2 linked regions of the Anolis sagrei genome follow. Each later gene encodes a partner of the first gene's protein in a complex. Links are inferred from orthologs where the notes say so. Each region holds a gene or a part of one and is shown in the gene's direction. Other genes may lie near its edges.

What was found.
Region 2: MED1 (region 1) and MED25 share a complex: the UniProt entries of both Homo sapiens proteins name them as parts of the mediator complex. The link is inferred for Anolis sagrei from reciprocal best matches to the Homo sapiens genes MED1 and MED25.

Annotation. Positions count from the first base shown.
Region 1 is NC_090026.1:43,431,482-43,438,939, forward strand, and holds the start of MED1 (mediator of RNA polymerase II transcription subunit 1), read left to right. Parts: upstream 1-4,436; 5' UTR 4,437-4,594; coding exon 4,595-4,622; intron 4,623-7,458. Other genes in the region: CDK12 (cyclin-dependent kinase 12), read right to left, coding at 1-131. UniProt on the Homo sapiens protein: Component of the Mediator complex, a coactivator involved in the regulated transcription of nearly all RNA polymerase II-dependent genes.
Region 2 is NC_090026.1:28,837,510-28,845,000, reverse strand, and holds the start of MED25 (mediator of RNA polymerase II transcription subunit 25), read left to right. Parts: upstream 1-4,485; 5' UTR 4,486-4,619; intron 4,620-5,745; 5' UTR 5,746-5,757; coding exon 5,758-5,894; intron 5,895-7,272; coding exon 7,273-7,318; intron 7,319-7,491. Other genes in the region: FUZ (protein fuzzy homolog), read right to left, coding at 1-150, 1,313-1,417, 1,838-1,906, 2,398-2,482, 2,672-2,793, 4,136-4,237. UniProt on the Homo sapiens protein: Component of the Mediator complex, a coactivator involved in the regulated transcription of nearly all RNA polymerase II-dependent genes.

The DNA of each region.
Region 1 (7,458 bases):
TGTCTCTTGTGCTTGGAGAGCCTGTGCCTCTCTTTGTTGTTTGAGCTCCCGCTGCTGGATACGGCTTCTTGATGCAAGAGCGCTCCTCCTCCTGATTCCTTCTTGACCCCATGTCTCTCTGGGTTTGGCATTCCTTCTCCACTGGGCTCTAAAAGAGGGGGGACTCCTCCAAAACCCCCAACCCTAATTGTCAAAGCCACCCCCTTCCCTTGCGTCACTTCTCTCCTACATCCAGCCACTTTGCTCTTTTCGGCATGCGGTTGTCTTACCAGAGTTTGGAGCTAGAAGGGGATCTAGCCCAAACCACTGCCTAAGACACAGACCTTCAACTTTGAACCCTTAAAGGGGCGGGGCAACTTATATTACAATGGCCCTGCTCCTAGATATCAAGCATGGGGTGGGCAATGACAGGAAGCTAACTTTCCTTAGCTGGAGATTCCAATCTCAAAATGCTAAGGTCAATGTATGGGTCCCAACTACTCCTGGAGATGGATCCCTCCAAACCGTCTAAAAGGAGGGAAAGTTCCTGGAAGTGGCCCCTTCTCTTCCAACTTCAGACCCCTCTAAGCTGTAGGTCTCCCCAAGAATTGGTATAATGGCTTCTCTAGGGTCTGAAACGCCCCCTCGGCTACCAACTCGAGGCCCTGAGTCCTCACGAGAAGGAAGGCCACAGCTGGCTGCACTTTCTCCTTCAAGGCTGCTGCTTCCAAGTTTCTGAGGGAAAGGAGAGAGTGGTGCCGAGGCCTGGCTGGCCGCGGAGGCGCCGGGGGCCCTCGAGGGGGCCACGAGTCCCCTGCTGAGGAGCCCCCTCCGCCTCTCCCTCCGGCCGAGTCCCTAGCAAGGCCCCCACGCCGGGCCCCCCATCCTCCTTTTCCTCCTCCTCGCCCCCTCTTACTTCCCTCCACGAAACGGCGCCGCTTCCAGGTTGGGGGGAGGGGCGGGAGAGGAAAGTGAGGAGGGGAGAAGGTAAGCCGCCAACTCTCGCGAGAACACGGACAAAATTCGCCGAAGCTTCCTGTAGTAACGCGCGGGGGGCTCTTCTGCTCCGTCTTTCTCGCTCTCTCTTCTCTCTATACCTGCTCCTCCAGATATCGCGAGAGCAAGCGCGCGCAAGCTTGCTCTCCTTCCTGCCTGCCTGCCTACCTTCTGGCGCGCAGGCGCACAAGCCGAGTCTCGCGACGCTGCCCCTCAGGAAGAGAAGGGAAAGCGGAAAACCTCCTCCGCTTTCTCGAAACGGGTTTGACCTCTCGCGGGGCCGAAATCTCACGGGAACTCGTTCGAGCGTTTGAACAAAACTTTTATCTGCATGGGGACAATTGCAGAGGCTCGGCGCTGACTTGGTTGGAGAGGGAAGCTGCCACGTTTCGTTGCAAAATGGGAATTGGAAGTCCAAAATACCCGGAGGGTCCAAGTTTGCCCATGCCTGCTTTAGACGGAAAACACTGACTTTGCAGTGCTTTCCCTCTTGTGGTGACAGATTGGCCTGTCTGTCATGATAAAAAGTACACACAAAAATGTAATAACATGTCTGTAGAATATACCATGCGATGTGCAGGGCTTGATGAATGCAAGGCTGGGGTTAAAATGGCTGGAAGAAACATTAACAAACTTAGATATGCAGATGATACCGCTTTGATGGCAAAAAGTGAGAAACTGAGGAGACTTCTAATCAAGGTGAAAAAAGAAAGCGCAAAAGCTGGGTTGCAATAACACATTAAAAAAAACAAGATTATGGCAACAAGAATGATTGACAACTGGAAAATAGAGGGAGAAAACGAGGTCATGGCAGACTGTATTTCTATGCGCAAAAATTAACTGCAGACGCAGACTGCAGCCAGGAAATCAGGAGATGCTTACTTCTTGGGAGGAGAGCAATGTCCAATCTTGATAAAATAGTGAAGAGTAGAGACATCACACTGGCAACCAAGATCCGCATAGTTAAAGCAATGGTATTCCTCATAATCACCTATGCACGTGAGAGCTGGACCATAGGGAAGGCTGAATTTCCTGAAGTATGGACTGGTTGGATCTTCTCACTGTCCAAGGCACTCTCAGAACTTTCCTCCAACACCACAGTTCAAAAGCATCTATCTTCCTTTGCTTAGCCTTCCCTATGATCCAGCTCTCACATCCGTAGGTGACTAAAGGGAAGACCATTGCTTTAACTATGCAGATCTTGGTTGCCAGTAGGATGTCTCTACTCTTCGCTATTTTATCGAGATTGGACATTGCTCTCTTCCCAAAAAGTAAGTGTCTCCTGATTTCCTGGCTGCAGTCTGCTTTGCAGTAATCTTTGTTAGTGTTTAGAGCGGAAGTATTTGCACAGGCTTGGTAGAAATCATAGACTCTGCAGTTATCTTTGCACCTAAAAATACAAAGTCTGTCACTGCCTCCATGTTTTCTCCCTCTGTTTCCCAGTTGTCAATCATTCTTGTTGCCATAATCTTGGGGTTTTTTTATGTTTAACTGCAACCCAGCATTTGCGCTTTCTTCTTTCACCTTGATTAGAAGTCTCCTCAGCTCCTCCTCGCTTTTGGCCATCAAAGTGGTATCATCTGCATATCTATGGTTGTTAATGTTTCTTCCTGCAATTTTCACCCCAGCCTTGCATTCCTCAAGCCCCGCACATCGCATGATGTGTTCTGCCTACAAGTTGAATAGGTTGGATGAGAGTATACAACCCTGCCATACACCTTTCCCAATCTTGAACCAGTCTGTTGTTCCATGGTCAGTTCTTACTGTTGCTACTTGGTCATTATACAGATTCCTCAGGAGAGAGATAAGGTGATTTGGTATCCCCATACCACCAAGAGCTTGCCACAATTTATTATGATCGACACAAAAGCTTTAGAATAGTCAATAAAACAGAACTCAACCATTATATTGTAATATAAGAAAAAGGAATCTGCGAACCCCACCTCCTTCAAGATGAACTGAACCACCTCAACTGGGCTCTACAGGCCAATGGATACTCCACCTCAGACATCAGAAGAGCTGCAAGACCAAGAACAAGCCACAAGAGTAAAGATGAAGATTCACCCAGAGGAAAAGTGTTCCTGCCATACATCAAGGGAACCACTGACCGCATAGGGAAGCTGATGAGGAAACACAACTTACAAAGTATCTACAGACCCACCAAGAAAATCCAACAAATGCTATGTTCAGCAAAGGACAAGAGGGATCTTTTCACTTCTGCAGGAGTCTACCGTGTACCATGCAGCTGTGGACAAGTCTACATAGGGACCACCAAACGCAGCAGCTCCCAAACACGAATCAAGTAACATGAAAGGCACTGCAGAATACTTCAACCTGCGAAGTCAGCCATAGCAGAGCACTTGATGAACCAACCTGGACACAGCATATTATTTGAGAACACAGAAATGCTGGACCACTCTCACAATCACGATGTCAGACTACACAGAGAAGCCATTGAAATACACAGGCATGTGGACAATTTCAACAGAAAGGAGAAACCATGAAAATGAACAAAATCTGGCTACCAGTATTAAAAAAAACTCTAAAATTACAACAGCACAACAACGGAGAGGAAACAAACAAGGACATCTAATCACCTCTCAACAAAGGTTTGCTCCAGGCACTGTCAGGCCATTATATGCTAATCAAGGTGATCAGTTGAAACATTTACACCTAGCTCCAGCAGACAGGAGTCCTTTGTCCTACCCTGGTCATTCCACAGATATATAAACCCCTTTTTCCTAGTTCCAACAGACCTCACAACCTCTGAGGATGCTTGCCATAGATGCAGGTGAAACCTACAACAACCTATTGTAATATTACATGTAATATTACATGTAATATAAATATATAATTATAATATTGTATTAATGTATTGTCGAAGGCTTTCATGGCCAGAATCACTGGGTTGTTGTAGGTTTTTTCGGGCTATATGGCCATGTTCTAGAGGCATTCTCTCCTGACGTTTCGCCTGCATCTATGGCAAGCATCAGTACCTCTAAGGATGCTTGCCATAGATGCAGGCGAAACGTCAGGAGAGAATGCCTCTAAAACATGGCCATATAGCCCGAAAAAACCTACAACAACCCAATTGTATTATTAGTATTATATTGTTTTACATTATAATATATATTACATGTATATACAATATATTGGATTATTAGTAAAGTACAGGAAATTGCAGCATGAACTGTATTATATGATCCAGGCTTGGGCAAACTTCGGTCCTCCGGGTGTTTTGGACTTTGTCTAAAGCGAAGGAATTGCATTGGACGTTTTCCTGATGGGTGAAAGAGCGTGACCTGTTTTGTTTGTTTATTTTTTTTTTTTCAAGGGAGGTGGAAATGAAAGCCTCGCGAGAAGTGCTTTCTGCCGCTAGATTGGCTGACTTCCCACGCGCCGCGGCTTCTCTCGCGCTTGTTGCTCTCCACCTCCGGTTTCCCCTCCCAAATCCCGCGAGAGCTGGAAATCTCACGCGGACGCCAGTGGGATGGTGCCTTGCGCGCGCCTCGGGTCTTCTCCTCCGAGCGGGAGACGGGCCTTCCTTCCCCGCCGCATGAGGGAGGGCGGAGCGGGGCGCCGGGCCCCTCTCCTTCCCTGCCTGCCGCTCCGGTGAAGGATGAAGGCCGCCCAGGGCGCCTCGGAGGGTGAGTGAGTCACGCCGGCCTGGGAGTGACACCAAGGCCTCAAAGTGGGAGCACTCCCAATAAAGGCTGCGTTCAGAAACCCCACAAAGAGCCTTGTGTGAGCAAAGCTCAGGTGTGCAGGGCCGTACAGGCGAAGTATCTTATATCCCAAATGAGTTCGCCCCACAAGTGTTTGGAATCTCGGATTTTTGAGGCTTGATCTGCACTATTATATAATGCAGCGTGAACCGAATTATATGATCCAGGCATGGGCAAACTTAATCCCTCCGGGTGTTTTGGACTTCAACTCCCGCCCTGCGGTTAGGAATTGTGAAGTTGAAGTCCAAAACACCCGGAGGGCCCAAGTTTGCCCATGCCTGCTTTAGACTGAAGCTTTATCAACTGACTTTGCAATATTTTGCCTCATACGATGTCTTGTCTGTCATAAAAAGTACAAGCAGAAGTTGAATCACATATAAGACTACAAATAAGACTCTCCTGTTTTTCCCAGGAGCTTGGTTCATGCATTCATCTGTCAGTCATTAAGGGATGGACACATTTGTGAATTGGTCCTCTGAGTAGCATTGATCCACAAAGCTGAAACTGTAGATGTGAACATTATACAGAGTGAGGCAGCATAACTTCCCTTTTTCAAGACTTAATAAAACCCATTGTAAGAATCAGAATATTTTTAATATAATGTAGGCGCATACCTAAAGTTTTGTTTTACGTAGTTTTTAAGATCAAATTAGGCAGGTGACGTCCCTCATTCTCCATACACTGAGTAAACCGATTTCTGGCATTTGTCATGACTCTTACCAGCATAGCAGGCGTTATGTTGGCAGTTTCTTCCTGGATGTTGGTCTTCAAATCTTTTAGGGTCCTTGGACAGTTCACATAAACACGGGATTTCAAAAAGCCCCATAAAAAAAATCACAAGGGGCCAATGCAACCTGAGTCCTGCCACATGCACAATGGAGGACCTTCTTGCAGCAACACCAGAAGCACTCCAAGTGGCCAGATACTGGTCAAAGGACATTTAATCAACTACCAAATTCACAAATTTTGTATTTTGTCTGTTTGTTTGTTTGCTTTGTTCTGTTAGAAATGTAATATAATTGCCTGGTTGCTGATGGCTCGATAAATAAACAAGGGGCCAAATCTGGAGAGGAGGCCAGCCACTCCCAAATCCGCTCAAAAAGTAGGCCTCAACAGCAAAAGCACGCTTCTCACTGTTCCAACGCATGATGGCGACTGAACTGTGTCAGGACAAAACTTTATACTCCCGCCTCTCGAACAAGACCCCTAGCGCTCCTCTACGTTTTCAACCGCCTGAATGGCGCGCATTTTAAAAAAGGAAGTTATGTTGCCTCACCCTGTATTTGCTACCACTTCCGGTCCAGTAGACTGCATCAACGACCCAACGGCTGCTCTGGCCAGAGCGAAGACAGAGGGGAGCAGAAGACGTTTCCATCTTGTCTTTACTAATAATCTAATATAGTATATTGTATATACATATAATATTTATAATATTATAATGTAATACAATATAATACTAGTAATAATAATATGATATTATAATTATATATTTACACTAATAATATTACAATATAATGGTATAGTGCAATAAAGTAATATATAATACTGATATTGTACTATGCTAATAATATAATATATTGTATGAAAATATATATTGTAAGCCACTCTGAGTCCCCTTCGAGGTGAGAAGGGCGGCATATAAATGCCGTAAATAAAAAAAATCAAGAATTTCTCCCCTGTCTGGCTTGGGCCTTGTAATCTATCCACCTTTCCCTTTAGTATCCACCTTGACTTGGTCCTCTGCAGATGCTGTTCCATACTAGATCTCTGCTTAATGAGTACTGTACTGTAATTTAGTTTCTGTGAATAGTTAGAAGGCCCTTCCTTTAGACCAGCCATGGGCAAACTTCGGCCCTCTGGATGTTTTGAACTTGAAATCCCAAGCAACTTACTGGCTGTTAAGAATTGTGGAAGTTGAAAACACCTGGAGAACCCAAGTTTGCCCATACCTGCTTTAGACTGAATAGCTGACTTTGCAATGATTTGGAAGTTATGCTGCCTCACCCTGTATGATATTTGGTAGCAGAGATTATGGCACACTCAGGTAGAAACCAGAATAGAAATATCACTCACTCCCCCAAGCACAGGTAAAAGAACCAAACTTAAGTTAAAGTGTAAAGGGATACTTGACACATAGTTTCAGCGTTTTCAGGTATGGTGAAAGTGTCAGGAAAACAAGCATGTCATCAGCTTTGACTGTTTGACTTCAAGAGTATTCATAGCTTCTTTGAGTCTCTGTTAAGAAAGAACAGTGGCATAAAAATAAATGTAATTATACAGGAACACTTGCTCACTATGTGCTTCATAGTGAGGGGTCACGATGAAAAAAGATGAGTGGGCAAACCCATGCTGTTCCTGGGGAGAAAAGTAGTATGCATGGGACTTAGGAAGAAGGGGTGTGAGCAAGCAAACAATCAACATGCTTTTCTAAACATCCATAGGCTATACCAGTGAGTTCAGCATGCTCTGCCCAGAAAGCGGCACAGGACTACAATGAAAGTAAAAAAGCGCAAATAAAGAAATTGTGTTTATTTCAGATAACACCTCTAGAAATTTCTAGGTGTTCCAACATGACTCTATGGGCAACTTCTGTTGGAAGGTAATCATACAATTGGGTTAGGGAACCCAAAAATTTCTAGAGATCTTAATGTATAAAAATTGCTTGGTCCTCCACCATGATTGGAAGAAGTTGACCACAGAGTCACATTGGAGGGTCTAGAGATTCTTAGAACATTTAAATCAAATCAGAAGTCAAAAC
Region 2 (7,491 bases), about 15 Mb from region 1:
GGGAGGAAGTGACTGCACCAGCCACACCAGCAGCATCGCCTCCTGGGCTGCCAGCTGCCACCACTGCTCTGTTGCGCACAGCACCCGTCCACCCACAAGCAGGCAGCCAAAGCGTGACTCTGCTGCTGAAGCAAAGGCTTCTAGGCATTCCTGAATAGGGAACAAAGATAACAGCACAGAGGTTTATCTATATACTTGTACAAACTACCTACTTGCTAGAACTGCAATAGGTATCCATAGGTGGACACAGAAGGACACACGCCATGTTGCTATCTGTTCTGTGCCAGTGAATCCTTAAAATGAATTCATTTTTAACATCATAGAATTGGAGTTTCCAAGGATTACAAGGACCATCCAGTCAATCCCCTTGCCATGCAGGACAAATTATAAGAACGGATAATATGCCCTTCCTGCATGAGACCACCACCACCATGGAGTGTCCAGAGTTTGCCAGAATATCCACCAGAAAAATATATAAATATGTTCTGTGACATGATGCATTTAAAAAAATGGGGAAGCCTCCAGACGTCCACTGAATGTGGATCACCAGGTAAAAAAGACCAGCAACTATGTTTCCCTAAAGCAGGGGTCCTCAAACTATGGCCCGAGGGCCGAATACGGCCCTCCAAGGTCATTTACCCGGCCCTAGCTCAGGGTCAACCTAAGTCTGAAACAACTAGAAAGCACATAATAACAATAACAATCCTATCTCATCAACCAAAAGCAGGCCCACACTTCCCATTGAAATACTAATAAGATTATATTTGTTAAAATTGTTCTTCATTTTAATTATGGTATTGTTTTTAACTGTTTTTACACTACAAATAAGATATGTTCAGTGTGCGTAGGAATTCATTCATGTTTTTTTTCAAATTGTCATCCGGTCCTCCAACAGTTTGAGGGACTGTGACCTGGCCCTCTGTTTAAAAAGTTAGAGGACCCCTGCCCTAAAGCATAAAAAGTTGGGGGGCGGGGGGAGGAATGTATCAGCAACTGAAGCCCAACTGGTTTTTATTTTAGCATGAGCCTTGTGGGTATAAATCCAGTTCTTTAGATGCAGGCTAAGATAAAGTGGTATTAAAACCTCATCTATAAAGCATATTTATACAGCTTTGGGATAAATTTAATTTATCTTCCATTAATTTCATATATGTCCTCCTATGCCAACAATGCCACTCTGCACTTTAAGTTAGACAAACAGGTTACAATAGAGGGTAAACAAAGGGATTTTTCAAAGTCCCAAATATGGTGGTGTGGACGTTAGAAGTTATGCTGGAACCTGCAGATGACAGAAAGAAACAGGTCAACTTACCTGCAGTACTGCCCTGGAGGGTGTCACAGCACATTCCATACACTGAGTCAAGTCAGCACTGCATTTGCCTGGTTCCAGGAAACTGTCAATCAATTTATAACATGCCTGCAGGGTGGTACATTTCATATTTAAGCTACCAAGGTTTTGTTTTTTTTAAAACTATTTTCTGAACAACTTCCAAAAAGCATGTTTCAATGCATTTACTATTTACATCCTAATGCTATCTGCTTTTCTAATGTAGTTTCACATGCTTCAAGAAAACATTCTGGATCAGGCTGAAGGAAAAAGGCTCAAATCCAGGTGGTAGATATCAAAGATGCCTCTCTATCATCAGAATGTGAAGCAAAGATAGCAAAAGCAGGAGGTGCCATCAACTTGCCATACACCATGCAATAGAGCAATATCTAAATGCCCCTCTCCCCTGTTTTACTACAAAGTTCCCTAGATATTATATTCCTGAGTTCAGTTCTCAGAAATGTAAATTGCACCCACCCACCCCTCCTTCCACTCCACATCAAGTGTTACCTTCAGATCCTTTTTCAGACGTTCAATATTACGGGCATTTACCAGTTCCTCCAGACCTAATATCAGTACCTACAATAAAATGCATGTCAGAAAGATCCTGCTGGTCTACCATTTTAAAAAAAGCAGCCAGTTCCCGCAAAACTAAACATGTTTCCCCATCTAGATTTAGGAGTCTGAGCTGGCATCAAACACAAGTTCTTTGCAAATGGGTCTATTTTACTGTGAGAAACAGGCCACTTGAAAGTGGGGCCTTACCATCTCTTATGTCTCAGGTCTCTTATGTATGGTTTTATGTTACTTTACATTTTTACCATGGCCCATGTCACAATTAAAAACCCCTACTGATTCATGCAAACCAGTAGCATATACCTACACAACTTAGCATAACTTTAAAAGCCACAAAACACAGCTAAGTCAAACATGCCCCATGCCCTCCATCCCCCATTCACTGGTGATACTTGCTTCTCTCAAAATGGATTTATTCTTCCCAATAATTGACTGTGCCTTACAGTTCAGGAAGACATAGGCTGAAATGATATCCCATCCCTTCAACTACTCACCATGGCATTGAAGATATTCTCAAGGAGTCGCCCAAGGCTGAAGTCACTAGTACCTTCATCTGAGGACAAGACGATGAGCGTGATACTGAAAACAAACATACCACAAACCAAGGATAGGCATGCACAGTAGGCCACCAGAGCCTCAATTTCAAGTCTTTAAAAAGAAGGACAATCCTTCATTTCTAACAAATCCCACATAGATTCAGAAGACAATGATTGGTTGCTAGAGGTATGGCAATTCCAGAGGTAAAACCTGGCATGTATTCTTGCTCACCTGTTGTGAAATACTTTCCACATCACACGAGTATTCTCTGTACAGGCAGCTGTCAGCAGAACATCTAGGTTGGACCCAAACATGTGAACCCCATTTAGGGAGCCAATCACAGAGAATGGCAGCTAGGTTGGGGGAAGATGAATAAGGAAATATTAGCATAATACATATGGCTCGGATAGTGACAACTAATTCTAGAAGGATTATTAAGTTGGATCTGTAATGTAGAATACTTTTCTTATTTTCATCATAAGTGGTTGTATGTGTGTTAAAGCCATATTTTCTTTTAGATATGTATTTTTTCATTCCTTTATTCTCTGAATGTATTTTCTGAAGGTATAGAATTTTGATTTCAATTGAAATTTATATTGTTAGTGTATGTATATATTCGTGTATGTATATATAAATGACTGAACACAACTGGATTGCCTGGTGTACATCGTAAGTACCAAATGTGCTTTGGAGCTCCTTGCTGGTGACCACTAATTCTAGAAGGAATATTAAACTGGATCTGTAATGTAGAATATTACTTTTTTATTTTCATCATAGGTGGTTGTATTTGTGTTAAAGCCATATTTTCTTTTAGCTATACGTATTTTTTCATTCCTTTATTCTCTGAATGTATTTTCTGAAGGTATAGAATTTTGATTTCAATTGAAATTTATATTGTTAGTGTATGTATATATTCGTGTATGTATATATAAATGACTGAACACAACTGGATTGCCTGGTGTACATCGTAAGTACCAAATGTGCTTTGGAGCTCCTTGCTGGTGCCCGGATTAGCATCTTCAGAAAAGATTAAGGTGGTTTTGTTGTATTTCTGCAATGTACCTACAGATTTGTAAAGTTACAACATGCATATTCTGATGTAGAATCTCAGCTCATGTTTTAAACAACTGTGTATAAAGCTCAGGACTCTTGTCTGCTAGAGCTAGGTGTCCTTTGTCCCGCCCTGATCATTCCACAGATATATAAACCCTTTTTCCTAGTTCCAACAGACCTCACTACCTCTAAGGATGCTTGCCATAGATGCAGGCGAAACATCAGGAGAGAATGCCTCTAGACCATGGCCATATAGCTCAAAAAAACCTACAACAACCCAGTGATTCCGGCCATGAAAGCCTTCGACAATACTGTATTATTATTAATAATATTACATATAATATAAAATATAATTCTTATATTGTTTATTATTAGTATTATATTGGATTACATTATAATATCATGATTAATAATATATGTGTATACAATATATTATATTATTACCAGAGCACATCAGTAATATATTAACATCTGAATAAAACCCCACATTTTCTGCTCTGAACTGGAATATATGGCAGTGTGGACTCAGATAACCCAGTTCAAAGCAGCTATTGAGGGATTTTCTGCCTTGATATTCTGGGTTATATGGCTGTGTGGAAGGGCCCAAAGACAGTGTGAGAGAAGGAGACGCCACGGCCTCACCTGTGGCTTGGCAAGGCCTCCTCGGCTCCTACAGAAGAGGGGCACCCCACTGCTGGCGGTGAGGCACAGCAGCGTCACGGAGCCCCCCGCTTCCTCCCACATCGTGGCCCGGAAAGTATTCCTCCCTTTTGGTCCGCTTTCCCCTTTTTTCCCTATTCCTTTTCCTCAGCCTTTCCTCAAGGCCGCCATTTTGGGAATCCCGTTGCCATGGCAACAAGAGCCCCTCCTCGATTGGTTCTTTCCGTGCGTCCCCGGTGTTGCCGTGGCGACAGCAGCGCCTGCGTGATTGGTGGCTTCCTTTTCTTTTTTTCCCCGCCCACTTCACGTGACCCAGGCTCAGCTGCTCTCCCGCAGCAAGAGAGGGAAGAGAAATCTCCCCTCTCCGTTCGGTATTTGCGCATGCGCAATATAAAGCGGACCTGAAGGGGATCATTTCCGGTGGCTGGAAAACAAGGAAAGCTGAGCATCCGGATGTCAGCGTTGGGTATGCGCTTGAGGGAGTGGAGGAAGGAGGGGGATGTTTGAGGAGAAGAGGGGCAGAAGTGGAGAGGAGGAAGAAGAGCGGCCACAGCCCTACACCATGGGGTTGCTTCTTGATTTGTTGCTCCTTTTCTGGAGGCTTGTCTCTGTTCCATTGACACCAGGCGTGGGCAAACTTGGGCCTTCCTCCAGATGTTTTGGACTTCAACTCCCACCATTCCTAACAGCCTCAGGCCCTTTCCTTTTTTAAGTTTTTATGGTCCAAATGTTCCTTACTTGTGCAGGGCAGCCACACTTTCCAAAATTAAATCCATTTTGTAATTGTCTAATAAGCTGTTCTTTTAAAACCGCATTGAGTCGCCTGTTAAGGGCTGAAAAATGCAGTATAGAAATAAAGCAAATAAATAAATAAATAATATACCAAGCATAATATACCAAGGAGATTCCATCTGAACATGAGGAAGAACTTCCTGACTGTGAGAGCCGTTCAGCAGTGGAACTCTCTGCCCCGGAGTGTGGTGGAGGCTCCTTCTTTGGAAGCTTTTAAACAGAGGCTGGATGGCCATCTGTCAGGGGTGATTTGAATGCAATATTCCTGCTTCTTGGCAGGGGGTTGGACTGGATGGCCCATGAGGTCTCTTCCAACTCTGATTCTATGATAAATTATGATAAACCATTTCATGCATCATAAGATTTATATTCCTAAAGTAACAAAGTGACTTTCAATTTGTAAAGAAGGTAATAGTTTTTCAGTTTTCCAGAAAATATGCCCCTATCCCTATAGCTTCTGTTTCGTTTTGCTTCTAGTTAAATTTGCAATTTTAGATTTCTAACAAAACAATTGTTTGATTATGGTCCATCTCTGTTCCAGACATCATTCCGTCCTTCTCTTATCTACAAGTCCACCTTTTTTTTGACCTGCTTATATTCCTGTTATTCATTTGTTAGTTCCTTCCTTTCTTTATCTCTCACTTGTTTACATTTGACTAGAACCCAGATGAGTCTTGTGTTTTTATAGAGTACTGAATGTTCATTGTGGTACGGATTTAAAGTTAAATAGTTACAGATTGTTGGGCTTGCCTCTTGTTACTAATTTGTCACACTGCTGCTGTTGTATAACCATATCTCAGTAGTTGGAGGAGATGGTGGTACCAACGCTGGATATGCCTGCTCAGCCTATGGGGATGGTTGCTGATGTAGTCTTCGTCATTGAGGGCACTGCCAACCTTGGGCCCTACTTTGAGTCCCTGCGAAAGCATTACCTTCTACCTGCCATTGAGTGAGTGTTCTTGGCATCCTGAGATGCAGCTGTGCTCTTGTTTGCTTTGTTGCTTAGAAAGACACAATTATGGGAAGGAGAATGCTGAGAAAGTATTTCCTTTGAGGGAAAAATCCAGTTATAGTATTGATTACTATGTTCTGACTATTCGATGATGTACTGTCCCAATAAAATCTTATATAGGCAATCCCTGAGTTACAAACATATCACTTACAAATTACTCATAGTTAAGAACGGGGGTGAGACAACAGGAAGTGAGAGAAATCTGCCCCTCAGAAGGGACATTCACTCTCGAAAGAGTCATCATAGGGAAAATGGGTCTCCACTAAAGACCAAAGACATCTGGAGGGTAGATGTAGAATTTCCATAAGAATTTGCAGACTTGGGTTTTGTTTTTGTTTTTTACTAAATTCTTGGGGTTTAATGATCAAAGAGTTTTGCAAAGTACTGGATGAAGGGGTTGGACTTGTGCTAGGAACTAAGAATATAAGTGAATAGGTAAAGAACATGATGACTAAGCATATGATTAGCTGTAGAATTTTTGGTCAACATAAGAATCAAACATACCAATCTTTTCACACAAAAATGTACACCAAGTTCCCCGGAAGTATTTGTATTACAATTGAATTCAGTACAGAAATACCTTTTAATTGTTACTTTTGAATGGGAACCTTTGTTGTTTCAGGCAAATTAAAAATCAACCTGTATATGACTGGTGTATCTTGTGTCTATGCCTGACCTAGAGTCAACTCTACTGAATGTTGTTTCATCTTCTGAATAAAAATGCATATGCATTCAATGTTTAGCATGTGCAGTACTTGGAAGTAGGCTCAACTGAAATAAATGAGTTTTACTTCAGAATTATTATCATTACCACCTGCCTCTCCATACAGTTTGAGGTGCAGAGTAACAGATTAAAATAAAGACATAGATACAAAACATAATTTCCAATTAAAATCCATAATTAGTTGATTGCTTAGTCTTAAAAGTAATATATTAATCCAAAGATTTCTCAATTGAAGAAATATCTGCAAATACACATGGTTACTAATACTGCAGATTGCAAATATGGAGTCCCGGGATATTAAAAATAAAGTTAACTGAAGAGAGAATATACATACAGGATTAAACTAGACATGATAAATTGACTCATATGTTTATGTGATCCAGCGTAGGGGCAAACAAAATATGAACACAGCAGATGTGTTTACAATTCTTAATTTGGGAAATAAGCAAGTAATGTACATGGTGGCTAACTCAATTGGAATGGAAATCATGAAAAGTAATCCTGTCATTTCATTACTTCTATTTAGTGTTGTGTTCAATGTCAAGCAACCCTCACTTTCAGTCAACTGATTTTTTTTTGTTTTACTTCTAGATATTTTAATGGTGGTCCTCCAGCTGAAACAGACTTTGGAGGAGATGTACGTATAGGAATATGCTTTTGAAGTTTTTGAAATGAGGGAATTGAGTGGGCTTTGGAGACATCCTCTCTTTGAGTATGCCTAGTTTTTGCTTCTGAGCATTGCATGGGCTGAGAAGCCATTTAATAATAATAATAATAATAATAATAATAATAATAAGTGCATGAACTCTA